Linked DNA regions of Mus musculus. The protein of the gene in region 2 purifies or fractionates together with the protein of the main gene of each other region. This does not show direct contact. Links are inferred from orthologs where the notes say so. Each region holds a gene or a part of one and is shown on either strand. Other genes may lie near its edges.

Evidence for each region.
Region 1: the proteins of Inava (region 2) and Cyth1 purify together in Homo sapiens (co-immunoprecipitation; 3 studies listed by BioGRID and IntAct, counting the BioPlex papers as one, with this or other methods). This does not show direct contact. The link is inferred for Mus musculus from reciprocal best matches to the Homo sapiens genes INAVA and CYTH1.
Region 3: the proteins of Inava (region 2) and Cyth3 purify together in Homo sapiens (co-immunoprecipitation; 3 studies listed by BioGRID and IntAct, counting the BioPlex papers as one, with this or other methods). This does not show direct contact. The link is inferred for Mus musculus from reciprocal best matches to the Homo sapiens genes INAVA and CYTH3.

The regions. Positions count from the first base shown.
Region 1 is NC_000077.6:118,168,092-118,172,233, reverse strand, and holds part of Cyth1 (cytohesin-1), read left to right. Parts: intron 1-1,336; coding exon 1,337-1,408; intron 1,409-3,063; coding exon 3,064-3,218; intron 3,219-4,142. UniProt on the Homo sapiens protein: Promotes guanine-nucleotide exchange on ARF1, ARF5 and ARF6. Promotes the activation of ARF factors through replacement of GDP with GTP.
Region 2 is NC_000067.6:136,223,760-136,227,901, reverse strand, and holds part of Inava (innate immunity activator protein), read left to right. Parts: intron 1-239; coding exon 240-388; intron 389-997; coding exon 998-1,122; intron 1,123-1,633; coding exon 1,634-1,750; intron 1,751-2,343; coding exon 2,344-2,566; intron 2,567-4,142. UniProt on the Homo sapiens protein: Expressed in peripheral macrophages and intestinal myeloid-derived cells, is required for optimal PRR (pattern recognition receptor)-induced signaling, cytokine secretion, and bacterial clearance.
Region 3 is NC_000071.6:143,684,772-143,688,913, forward strand, and holds part of Cyth3 (cytohesin-3), read left to right. Parts: intron 1-1,701; coding exon 1,702-1,766; intron 1,767-2,206; coding exon 2,207-2,273; intron 2,274-4,142. UniProt on the Homo sapiens protein: Promotes guanine-nucleotide exchange on ARF1 and ARF6. Promotes the activation of ARF factors through replacement of GDP with GTP. Plays a role in the epithelial polarization.

The DNA.
Region 1 (4,142 bases), on a different chromosome or scaffold from region 2:
CAGTCTCTTTCCTCTTCTCTTTCTCTCTCTCCTTCACAGTCCTCTCATTTTCTGCCTCTATTCTTTTCTCAACTCCCCTTCCCATGCCCCCAAATAAACTGTATTCTATACTATACCCATCATATGGTTGGTACGCCCGCTGAGGTACCCCCTCCCACTGCACTATCCCATGCTCTATAAAAGATATCATTGGCATTATAAAACACATTAATGCTATTGTGATAGAAAAGTAAGTACTAGATGTGACCCAGAGCACCCAGTTAGAAGGTGGGCTTTGAGTGGGGGAAGGAGAGCGAAGGTGAAGTAGGTTACCTGCTGCAGTTAGCTCTGAGTGGCATAGCCTGAGGAGCCCGATGGTGCTGAGGAGAGCCCAGCATTCCCTAGCTCAGTTATTGAGACATGGGCAGGAGGAGCTGTGTCTCCTGTAGGTGTCCTCTCACACTGCAGGCGCAGAGGAGCAGCTCGGATCAGGTGTCCTGAGGCCAGCACTAAAATGCTTGGCAGGAAGAGGATAACTTCCCACGGGGTTTAGGGAACTATCAGAAAGACGTATTTGTTTGTTTTTCTTTTATACAATTATAGAACTGGATTTGGTTGGTTGGTTGGTTGGTTGGTGGGATTGCTTGTTATTGTCATATTGTGCCTGTGTCACTCTAATCAGTATGCTTGAGAAGCAACAGGTTTTGACCAAGGTTAGCTGGCTGGTAGGGGTAGAAGTCTGTCCATGGTAAGGGCCCTGGCTGATGAGATGCACAGTCCCAGAGAGGGCCAGTTGAGGTGGAGGGAGGGGTGAGATCTGTCTGTCTGGACCTGAGCTCCAGCACCAATATGGATCTTGGGGCCGCTGTCCAAAGGACAGTGTTTCCCTAAGGACACACATCTGGGTGATGGGCAGTGGGCAGGAGGCAATGGGAAGTTCAGTTGCAGTTCCTCCATCAGGCACGGGCAGGAGTACCTGGGCCTAGGCTGGGAAAGGCTCCCAGAAGCTAGTGGCACAGAACCAGGAGGAGGAAAAGGAAAAGGAAAGCCTGGCAAAGACATGGAGGAGGGGGAAGGCCCTTTCTTAGGGAAAATGGGCCAAAGTGTTCCTGCTTGAGACTCGTGGGTCATTCATTGTCAGGCATACTTTGATGGCACCTGCTGAGCCCTCTGGCCTTGTTATCTGTAAAAAGCTTTGGATTTTCCAGCCACACCACACACTCATGACCCTATTGTTAGAACCCAAGCATGGCCTGAACCAACCTAGGAGCTTCAGGGAGGAGTCAGGATGGGCCTAGGGAGGAAAACAGGTGTTTCCTCCACAGAGAGTAAAGCCTTTCTCTTGCACCTGTCCCAGGACAAAGAGCCCCGCGGGATTATCCCCCTGGAGAACCTGAGTATCCGAGAAGTGGAGGACTCCAAAAAGCCGGTGAGTGTCTTGCTCCTGTGCCCAGAGTGGGGAAACAGCTGGGATTATGACCTGGAGAACCTGAGACTCAAAGCCTTCACCTTTACCACCTCCACCATCTCTTCTGATTGTCCTTACTTTGCAAGTCTGTCTGCTTCGGTGCCACATGCTGACTTTGAACCAAGATCTAGGAACTGTCTCACAGCTGTGAGCACCCATAGCTTGGTGCCAGTTTTATAATTCCGATGCACTATATGGCTTGAAAGCAGCTCACCTGCAGCCCTGCACATGCTCCTATCTGTCAGGAGCGGAGCCAGCTGGTGTCAGGCCAGCCTTTCAGCCAGCGGGCCTGGAAACATAGTTGAAGTGTTCTATTCTAAGCTGCTTTTTTCCATAGGAAGAAATCGTGTCTATGTGCCCATGTGTGCATGTGGTGAACTTCATTGTCACTCTTCATTGTCACTGTCCACCTCATTTTCTGAGTCAGGGTCTCAGGCTGGGGAGATGGGTGGGTGGGGAAAACATGAGACAAGAGCTGGCAACACAAGAACCTGAGTTCAGACCCCAGAGAAGCTGGGTGTGATCATGTGTGTCTGTGACTTCCACAAGCCACGGGCTTGCTCACCTAGTGTGCAGTAGGAAAACAGCAAGGAGGCCCATCTCAAACAAGGTAGAAGACAAGGGCTGACACTGGAACTTAGTCCTCTTCATTCCATCCCCATACAGTACACTGCATTACACACACACATGCACACATACAAGACACACACACACACACAGTGAATATGTATGTAATTTTGTTTTTTGAGACTGCAGTCCTGGCTGTCCTAGAACTCTCTCTGTAGATAAGGCTGGCTTCAAACTCATAAATCTTCGTGCCTCTGCCTCCTTGAATCTGGGATTAAAAGCATGTACCACCATGCCTTGCTTCTTTTTTTGGCTTTTTAAAAAACAAATCCTTAAAAAGAGAGTCCCTGGAAGCTTGTAGGCCGAATAGCCTGATAAACATAACAGCCAGATCAAGAGATCTGCCTCATATAAGATGGAGGGTGACTTTGCTTGTCTTCTGACCACCACACTTGTCATGGCATGTGTTTGCCCACATTTACATACATGCACACACACACACCAACAGTGTATCTTACTGGGAACTGGGTTTTTCTGCTGGCCTGGCTGGCCAGCCCTAGAGTCCCAGCAGGCTCACAGCTTCCTCCTCCCATTGTTGGCATTGCAAGTCTATGTGTATGCCACACCTGGCTTGCTATTATATATTTATTTTTATTTATATGTTTGTTTGTTTAGTTTTGGTTTTCAAGTCAGGGTTTCTCTATGTAGCCCTGGCTGTCCTAGAACTGAGTTTGTAGACCAGGATGGCCTTGAACTGAGATCTACCTGACTCAGCCTCTCGAGTGCCAGGATTAAAGGTGTGCATCACCACACTCGGTCTACGCCTGGCTTTGTCGATTCAGGATCAAACTCAGCTCCTCGGCCTTCTATAGCAAGCACTTTACTAGCTGCCTTATGTCCGGTGGTCTCAGAAAGTGCATGCTCTGAAAGTGCTCTCTGACACATCTCTCTCGAGAGTAAAGACAAAGAGTCTTTTGGGAAATGAATAACATTTTCTTTGATCAGCAGCTTCCTGAAATCTTACTGCCACTTTCTCGTGTTCTCCTCAGAACTGCTTTGAGCTTTATATCCCTGACAATAAAGACCAGGTGATTAAGGCCTGTAAGACAGAGGCGGACGGGCGAGTGGTGGAAGGGAACCACACTGTGTACCGCATCTCAGCCCCAACTCCGGAAGAGAAGGAAGACTGGATCAAATGCATCAAGTAGGTGGCTCCCTCCCAGGCAAGCCGCTTACCCACTCACCTCATGAGGTCCTCTCCGCTGCACTTCCTGTCCTGCCAGCCCTGAAAGGCTGCAGGGAGGTTCCCAGCTTGCTTCCCAGCAGGCCTTTGGATTCCTGCCTGTTGGAAAATTAGTAAGCCCTGTCTCTAGCCTAGGTACCCAGACAGTCAAAGACCCAGAGCGGGGATGAGTGCCACTCACCCCCATTGTGAGAGGCATCTCTTCCTGTGGCAGCTCAGTGTGACGAGCACTGGGCTTTATTAGACCTCTCATCCAGTGAGACCATTCTCCAGTTTGAGACACAGAAACTGAGGCCCACAGGTTTTGAGAGTTATGAAAGGTTCCAGAGCCTTGATGCAAGGCCGTAAAGCAGAGCTCCAGCCCCTCCCATATGCTGTGAGAACACAGGCGCCTGAGTGAAGGGAGCCACTTAAAGTCCACCATTAATCACAGTCCCATGGGTGAGGTTTACCTCAGGGACAGGCCTGCCCAGGGTGGCATGTAACTGGAAACAGGCTTTGCAAAGCCCATTGGTAGCTTCGTCAGCCTTGTTCCCTAGGATTCATGTGAAGCCTGGGCTGACAGGCATCTTTCTCCTATCCCCAGGAAGACAGCCATTGAGCACTCTGGCTTCTCCACCCTCTTGGCAATTATTTCTCCCAGTAATGTATACCTAATCACAGTCCTGGTACTGTGGCCGTCAGGTGTTTTCCTCAGAGAGCTTTCCTTGTTATCTGGGCTTCGATGACCTAGGAAGTGAGGAGGGCGCGCCATCAGGCCACAGGCTATCTCAGTGCTCTCAGACATGAGAGTCTGATTTAGTGTAGTATTTTGGTCAAGATTAGGCAGAAAGTAAGTAAGTTCTGGATGTGGTGACAGTGTACCAGTTGGGAAGAGTTGATGCT
Region 2 (4,142 bases):
CTCTGTTCTCTTTCTTATTCTTGTACAGCCACCAGTGCAGTAGGCCCCTTTGGACCCAAAGACTTTTTGGGGGGGTTGAGGGACTAGGCTGAACCCTCCCTTGGAATGCCTTCCCACCCCAGAGCACACTGAGAACCCCTCCCCCCAGATCATTCCAGAGACACAACCCGCACTTCCATTCCCGACGCTCAAGCATTGAGACTTCATAGAGCATTTTGGTTGTTATCTTCTCTTAAAAGCTGGGAACACTCCAGACTACCTACACATCCTGGCCCAGGCTGGGACCAGTGCAGCCCCTCCTTCCTCTGTGCCCCCTCTTCCCAGAAACTCATCATGGAGAGTAAGGATGAAGTCAGTGACTCCGACAGCGGCATCATCCTGCAGTCTGGTGAGTGGATCCAGGAAATTCCCCTGCCCTGCTCCCTGACTCCAGAGTGAGTCCCTAGGCCCTGGGCTAGCTGGGCTAGACCTCCCAAAGGGCTGGGGAGAGGAGGGAACGGAGGGGTTCCTGCTGGAGAAGTGGAACGGCTGGAAGATCTGGCACCTCAAGGAACTGCCGTTTTCCTTGCTGGAAGGCACCAACCAGCCAGGAGTTCCTGTCCTATCTGGAGCAGAGATCAGTTTTGTCCATCTTCAGCTCCAATGCTTACTAAGAAGTGGGAACACTGTATCTTGCTGGTGTTAATGTCCCATCCCTACTACGCTTGAGCCCGTGGGTCTAGTCTGGCCTGGTTTTGATAGAGGACGGGAGAGGAGGAGGAAGAGAAGACACATGGGCCCCTCCCACACCCAGGTCACCCTGGTGGGACAGCTCTCCCTTTGAACTATAGCAGCCAGGAGACATGATGTGGCTGTGACACAAGCCATAACGGCTAGCCTGTAATTTGTGGGCAAGCATGAGACGGTATGGGTGTGCACTCCCCCAGAGGTGGCCAACAGTGTCCTAGGGATGCCTTGCTTCAGCGTTCCTGAGCAGGTGTCTCTTATCTCCCTGCAGGCCCGGACAGCCCTGTCTCTCCAATGAAAGAGCTGACCAATGCAGTACGCAAGCAGCAGAGGGCTCTGGAAGCGAGGCTGGAGGCCTGCCTGGAGGAGCTGCGCAGACTCTGCCTGAGGGAGGCGGTGAGGTTCCTAAGTCCCTGCCCCCCCAAACTTAGCATTCATCTGAGGAGTCTCAAAACTATACCAAGGGGAAAACCCTTCTAGGGGATTGGAAATTAGACTGAGGTGTGGGCCTAGAGTTTCTGTCATTCGGGTTTGACCTGGACACTGGGTAGACCTGAGTAGGGTCTCAAGTACAGGAAAGGAAGCGATGAGGGGATGTGCAGAGGGGCCAAAGAGATGGAAGCGCATTTGATAGCTGTACCTTGGGTCAGGGTGGCCCTCAGGAGGAAGCGACCAGAGGGGATAAGAAGGCAAAGGGAGAAGAAGTGTTCTTCAAGGATGCGGGAGGAAGACAACTGTGGCAGATGGGACGAGGTGGGCAGAGGTACAAGTGTCCCGCCATTTTAGGGGCCTCTGGAATATCAGGTCCATGCAGTGTGGAGCTGGGTGGGAAGTTTTAAATGATCGGTCAAGGGCTGGGCAAGCAGAGAGGGGTGAAGGGGCCCGACTTGACTCTGCCCCCCTCTAGGAGCTGACTGGGACTTTGCCGGCAGAGTATCCCCTTAAGCCTGGTGAGAAGGCCCCCAAGGTCCGGCGCAGGATCGGAGCAGCGTACAAGCTGGATGAGTGGGCCCTCCACAGAGAGGTGAGGAACGTCAGAGGAGGTGGTCGCTGTACCTCATCCCCAAAGGCTGACTACCAGCAGTGCACTGGCAATCCCTGTCATCCATGTGGGCGGTGGCCAATCCCAGGCTTCTCAGGAGTGGTCCAGATGGCTCTGAGTAGGCATGCCACCTCAGCAGCTTGGCCCCTGTGGCAGAGGATTAAAAAGACCAATAACCAGCTCAAAAAGCCAGTTGCCTATTCAGGGAGGTTGGTGTGGCACGAGGCCTATCCTTTCTCAGCCTAGGTGGAAGGGAGTAGGGTCACTCCAACCCTAGATGACCTTCCTCTTGGAGAGATTTTTGTAGGTTGACATGCTTGGTCCTTTGGGGTCAGGAAGGAAAGTGACCTACTTAAGTCTTCTCCCAGCCCGGCACAGCAGGTAGCAGGGGGTGGGACGATTGTGGCAACTTTTCATGGTGACAAGTTGGCTCTGGGCTGCTCCCAGTGCCCCACCTTTTGCTGTGTATCCCTGGACACTGCAGTCTGCTCACAACTGGGTCAGAGTCTCTTGGAGATTTCTGTCCTCTAAGCGCCGAGGACCCTCTTAGCCCTCACCCCCAACCCCTCCCTCAGGACCCCCTGAGCAGCCTAGAGCGCCAGTTGGCTCTGCAGCTTCAGATCACCGAGGCGGCTCGAAGGCTGTGTGCAGAGGAGAACCTCAGCAGACAGGCACGCAGGCAGCGGAAGCACGCTGCGCTGCAGGAGGAGAAGAAGCTGCGGGACCTTCAGCGTTGCCTGGGTGATCGGCGGCGGAACAGTGAGCCCCCTCCTACCACTGTGCCCTCCCTGGGCAGAGGTGAGCCCATTGTCCTGAGCCATGAAAGCCTCACACAGCTCTTGTGGGACGGCCAGTGTGGCCCTGCGTTATGCTTTCGATAGCGCCTGTGCTAATACTGTTTCTCGTCAGCGCCATCAGGGTACTCCTTTCTGGGTCCAAACAGGTCCTTTCTTACCTATGTACCCGACAAGGCATCTCCACTCTGGGAGACCTTCATTCCGCTTGCATCTCTCACGTAGTGTACCGCTCCCACAAGACTTTATAGACAGAAGGCTTTTCTCTGTTTGATAGTAATCCAAGTGTTTATTCAAACTCAAATACTATCTTGAGGGAGAAAAGTTCAGTAGGCAGAAGGCTCTGCAGCGATGCTCGTTCAGCATCTTTAGGGAATTGCTGTTGCTATGGGTAGCCAATGACTGATGGGTTCAGGGCCACATACGCATGGGTGTTTAGACTGAAATCCAGTCATAACTCTACAGTCCCGTCAGTGTCTGCAACTGGTCAAGAGTGCTGAACCGTTCTTGTAGCCTAGTGACTGAGCCCTGACCCAGAGATGAGGCTGCGGGGCACCTCAGAACCAGAGCCAGCCAAATGACTTCAGTGTGCCCGGTCTGGTGAGCTTCTAGTGCTTTTGAACCCTGAGATGGGACCGTTTTCTTTGTCCTGACCCAAATCCTGTCAAGTTGGGACTTGTAGCCTCCATTCCTCCAGTCCCAGATCAGCTCTGGAGTCAGTCTCTTGCTTGGCTGTGTCTTAAGGAAGTGGTAAGAGGGACAAGCTGCTCTTTACCCAGAGCCTCAGGCTCAGCCTGGGGAGCAAGCAGGCTTCCCCATGTCCTGGTCCATACTCGAATATCAGCTGGTTCTTGCCCTGCAATTCTCTTCTCTGGCTGGACACAGTAGAAGCTTCAAGGTCCTCCCCACCCCCTATGCTGTGTGCCTCAGGCAGGCATTGCTTTCAGTACCTGTGACCTCCAGGACAAAGCGTCTGAACAGACACCAGCCAGGCCACCCTTGGAAGCCTGGCGTAGATGGCAAGGAACAACGTGTTCTTCCATGTCTTGACTGACCAGGAAAACTGGGCTTAGTGGCCAAACCCTATTCTGCTTTCAGTGGCTCTGGCCCTAATATAGGACATCACTGTCACTCGCCAAGACTCTAAGGAAAAAGTCATTCTCAGTTCTTCATTTTCCACAGGCCCTGGGTATGGTAAGGCACATGCTGATGGAGGTATAATGGTCCCCGAGGGCCACCTCTGTACTTGAAGGAGCCATTAGTGTAGAAATGTGACCTGTCTCCACACCCCTCTTCACGTGCACTGTTCAGCTCCTTTGCCCATAGGTGCTGGCACTGCCAGGAGCTTTTGCGCAGGGCGGGGCTTTGGGGGGAATGTCACTACTACTGCCATTGTGACTGATGACACTCCTTGTTGGGAGTGAAGAAGCAGGCCAGGACATGCCTAGGGCTCTGGCTTAACCCTGTGTAGGAGGGAAGAAGGCTGATTTTCTCAGAGCCTTTAGTCCGAGAGGAGATAGAGGGCAGAGGAACCAACTGGTATAGCCAGTGACTTGTGGCTCCCACACGGACCCCGCCCT
Region 3 (4,142 bases), on a different chromosome or scaffold from region 2:
TATTATTCCAGGCACTTAGAGAAGTGCCTGCTATATCTTTGGCAGTCTGTGTCCTTTGAATAGACAGACAAGCATACTTGTTGGATTCTAACTATATACCATGTGCCTGCTTGGTAAGGGCAGAATAACAAATTTAAACGAAGATAAATAAAACCGATGGGTAAACAGTGCCTTCCCACAGTTGTGGACTTGACTCGGAGGCCAGGGCGGAGGGTGTCCCACAGGGCAAGAGCTGAGTGAAGCTACATACAATACATTCAGAGCTGGGGATCTGAGCTGCTTCAGACGGCACGCAGGGGCCGCCTGGTCCTCAGGAAAGATGGTTGTGTGGCTTGGCTTGAGGGGCCTCCTAGTCACTGTCACTGCCAAAGTAAATGTTGCTTCACAGGCCACGATTGTCCTAGACAATGGCTCCTTTCTAGGAACTTGTTTAAGTTTGAACTTGTTGGCACATACATAATAGGGTTCTGAATATAATGTCTTTGTACTTGAGAGGTAATTGGTGGCTGTTTGGCTGTCAGGTTAGCCTGCATTCTTGGAAAATTCTGCAAACCAGAGAAGTCCTTTATCTAAAGAGTGAGAGTGGGTATCGTGTGGACAGAGTGATTGTACTGCTTAATAACACGGCCCCTTCCCTGAACTCTGACTGCAGAGAGGTGGGGAAGCCAGCCACAGGGGGTTGAGCCTTTTCTGTCCCCTCCGTTTCTGATGTCTCTGAGTTGGGCCTTGTTCTTAGGGCTTCATGTTGCTCTTTTAAAAAGAATCGTAACTAGCCGGGCGTGGTGGCGCACGCCTTTAATCCCAGCACTCGGGAGGCAGAGGCAGGCGGATTTCTGAGTTCAAGGCCAGCCTGGTCTACAAAGTGAGTTCCAGGACAGCCAGGGCTACACAGAGAAACCCTGTCTCGAAAAACCAAAAAACAAAAGAGAATCGTAACTAATCATCACTTTGAATTTTTATTATTTTAAATGATGTATATGTGTGTGTATCTATGGACATGAGTGCAGGTGCCCACAGGCCAGAGGAATGGGACCCCCTCGAGCTAGACTTAAGTGGTGTGAGCCATCTGATGTGTGTGCACGGATTGAACTTAGGTTCTCTGGAAGAGGGTAGCACAGTGTGTTAACTTCTAAGCCGTTTCTCTAGCCCTGAGGGGCTTCATCTTTTATGAAGTGACAGTCATGAGACTGGTTGGCAAACCTGATGTCAACTTAGACATATCCAAGTCTCTGCTCCCCTCAGAATGCAGGCTACCCATGCGTCTGGTTATATGTGATGACCACATGGTTTAGCTAAGGACCCCGGCTTGCCTGTCCATGCTTTTGTATTGTTTACTCCCTTCTTGATTTTTTACACAGATACTCAAGAGCCTGCCTAGTTAGACACATGTGATATGTGTGATGAGAGGTGGAGATTGTGTGTGGGCGAGCATGAGTGTGGGCGTACATGAATATGCGTGTGCATGAGTGTGTGAGTACATGAGTGTGCGTGCATGAGTGTATGCTTGCTTGCCTGTGTTCTCTGTGCTGTGCTGCCTCTGGCATTGAGTCTACCTTACTGGTACAGATGTTGAGTTTGGGCCTTGTGATGCTCATATGAGTCCTTAGGAAAGCGTGTGCCTGGAGAAGATCGGATGTCTCTGAGCCTATGAGTATAGGAGAGTGAAGATACCCCATGACCTGGCTCCTTCTTTTCTAACAGAGGCTGAAATATGAAATTGCAGAAGTGATGACGGAGATTGACAACCTGACTTCAGTGGAGGAGAGGTAAAATGCTTGTGGCTGTTGAGACTCCTCCCCCTCTTTATTTCTGCCACCTCCTCCAGCCACTATAGCAGGAGCAAGGGCTGGGCTGGGAAGTTGGGCTTTTGGCCATCCTTCCTCATGCCTCCTGTGTCCTCGCCAACTTTGTAGGTGTGGGAGTAAGCAGAGGGACTCTGAGTTAACTCTGTATTATGAGAACAGGATTCTAAAGTCTTGCTTTGTAGCAAGGCCCTGCTTTTCACCATTAGCCTTTCTGAAGAAGTCTTACTGTTCATGAAAATGCAAAACGCTGCAGCAGTGTCACCTGTGGAGGGCAGTAGGGTCTGCGGGACACCACTGCCTTATGCCCAGGTTGACCTGAGATGGAAAAGGAACAGGGATGTGTGGTTCTGCTGTACTCTGTGAAATACTAATGATTTTTCAAAATTGTTTAAAACCAATAGCAAAACTACTCAGAGGAACAAGCAAATAGCCATGGGAAGGAAGAAATTCAACATGGACCCCAAAAAGGTGAGGAACAGTTCTGGCCTTCAGCATGCAAATGGCTGACTCCCATGGCCTTGTGAAAAGATGGAGTTGATGTTTCAGTTTGTCACAAGCACCTGGACCTTTCTCATGGTCTGGGGCTCTGGGTGCAGGCCTGTCGGTCACTTGCTGAGAGCCCCAGGTCTGCCCACCACATCCAAGGGCGTCAGGGCTTAGTCAGGCTGTGGTGAATCGCTTAGTAGGTTTCACTCGATGTCCCTTTTGACCTGAAAGTATTTTTATGAATTTTATGTTAATTACTGGTTCTATTCAACTATTTATAATTAAAGCTCATTTAGTCTGCACATGAATTTTTTTTAAATCATTTAGTATTGTAGACTTGGTTGTGATACTTGCTTTAGTCAGCTTGAGCTGTTATGGCAAAATACCACACCTTGAAAACCAGGTTGGTGGAGTGAGGCTGTAAGCCCAGTGCTGGAAGGTAGAAACAGGAGGGCCAGAGGATCCGAAGCTCACTGTCGTCTTGACCTACAAAGCCAACTGGAGGCTAGCCTGGGATGCATACAAACTGGCATGCATGGAAGTGAACACAGCACCCAGGCCAGGGATGGGAACCACAGAGATTTTCTTCTCACACTTCTCTGTTCAGCCTGCAGGTCTGAACCCATGGGTGCTTTCATGCTGTGTTCACTGAGGTCCCTCCTCTCCGTGCAGATGGCAGCCTTCTTTCTGAATTTTCATGTGCTGAGGCTGTGGAGGAAGCTGGGTTTGGAGTTCCTCTTCTCAGGCGCTGTATGCCCTGACCCACCCCGGCACCTCCAAATGAGCTTGTCTTACCTGATCACCCCACAGTCTCTGCCTTCACTGGCTGTCACAGGGTTGGGGCTTTGTGTGTGCATCTTGAGGGACATATACAATTAGTCCACAGACACAGTAGAAAATCTCACTTTGTAGCTCAGAACACTATTTATGCCTGTGTCATAGGGTGCCATGTCACCTCATGAAAGCACAAGGAAATGCCAGAGTGACTAGTCTCAGGTAGGAGGGACTGTCAGCCTCTGAGCGATGACACTTTAAGCAAAGAGCTTTGACTTTGTTCAGTGGGCTAGAGTCTAGAAGTAACACTAGAGTTTATAAATAAATCAGGAAAGGTTTGATTAGATCAAGGAAGTCTGGAGCTGTATTACCAGAGAATGCTGTGTCAGGCACAGTAGCGAAACAGTCTCTTCTAGGGTGTAAGGGGAGAAATGATTTAAAACTGAGAACTCTGTCCAGACTGTCCCTAATGGAAAAATCAAAGCAGTGACAGTTTTAGACATGCAGGGACTCAAAAAGTTAGTCACTAAGACCTTGTCTGAGTATTGAGAAACTGAGTAAATATACCTAAAACAAGAAACACACCCAGAATACAGAAGGTGCACAGAGCCAGGGGTGCTGTAACCCCAGTACTGGGGAGGCTAAGGCAGGAGGATCATCAAGTTCAGGGTCAGCCTAAACCACAGAATGTGATATGTGCCGTCTCCTAAAACAGCCACACAAAAGACAAAAAGAAACCAACAAACCCCAAGTCTAAACAAGAAGAGAGTTCTATGAAAAAATGTATTTTAGAAGACCCAAATTCGCTCAGTATATTTTATAAGAAAGGAGAGGAATAAAAACTGCTGAGGTTTTCTAGGTATTGAGAGGCACATACAGGTTTAAATGTCAAGATTTTGGGCTGCCATGAAAAGCAGGGTGAAACTAAGGTTTATACATTTCCAGAAGAAGGTGTGATCATGGCGGGTTTGGTGTGGTCGTGGCGGGTTTGGTGTGATCATGGCGGGTTTGGTGTGATCATGGCGGGTTTGGTGTGGTCATGGCGGGTTTGGTGTGGTCATGGCGGGTTTGGTGTGA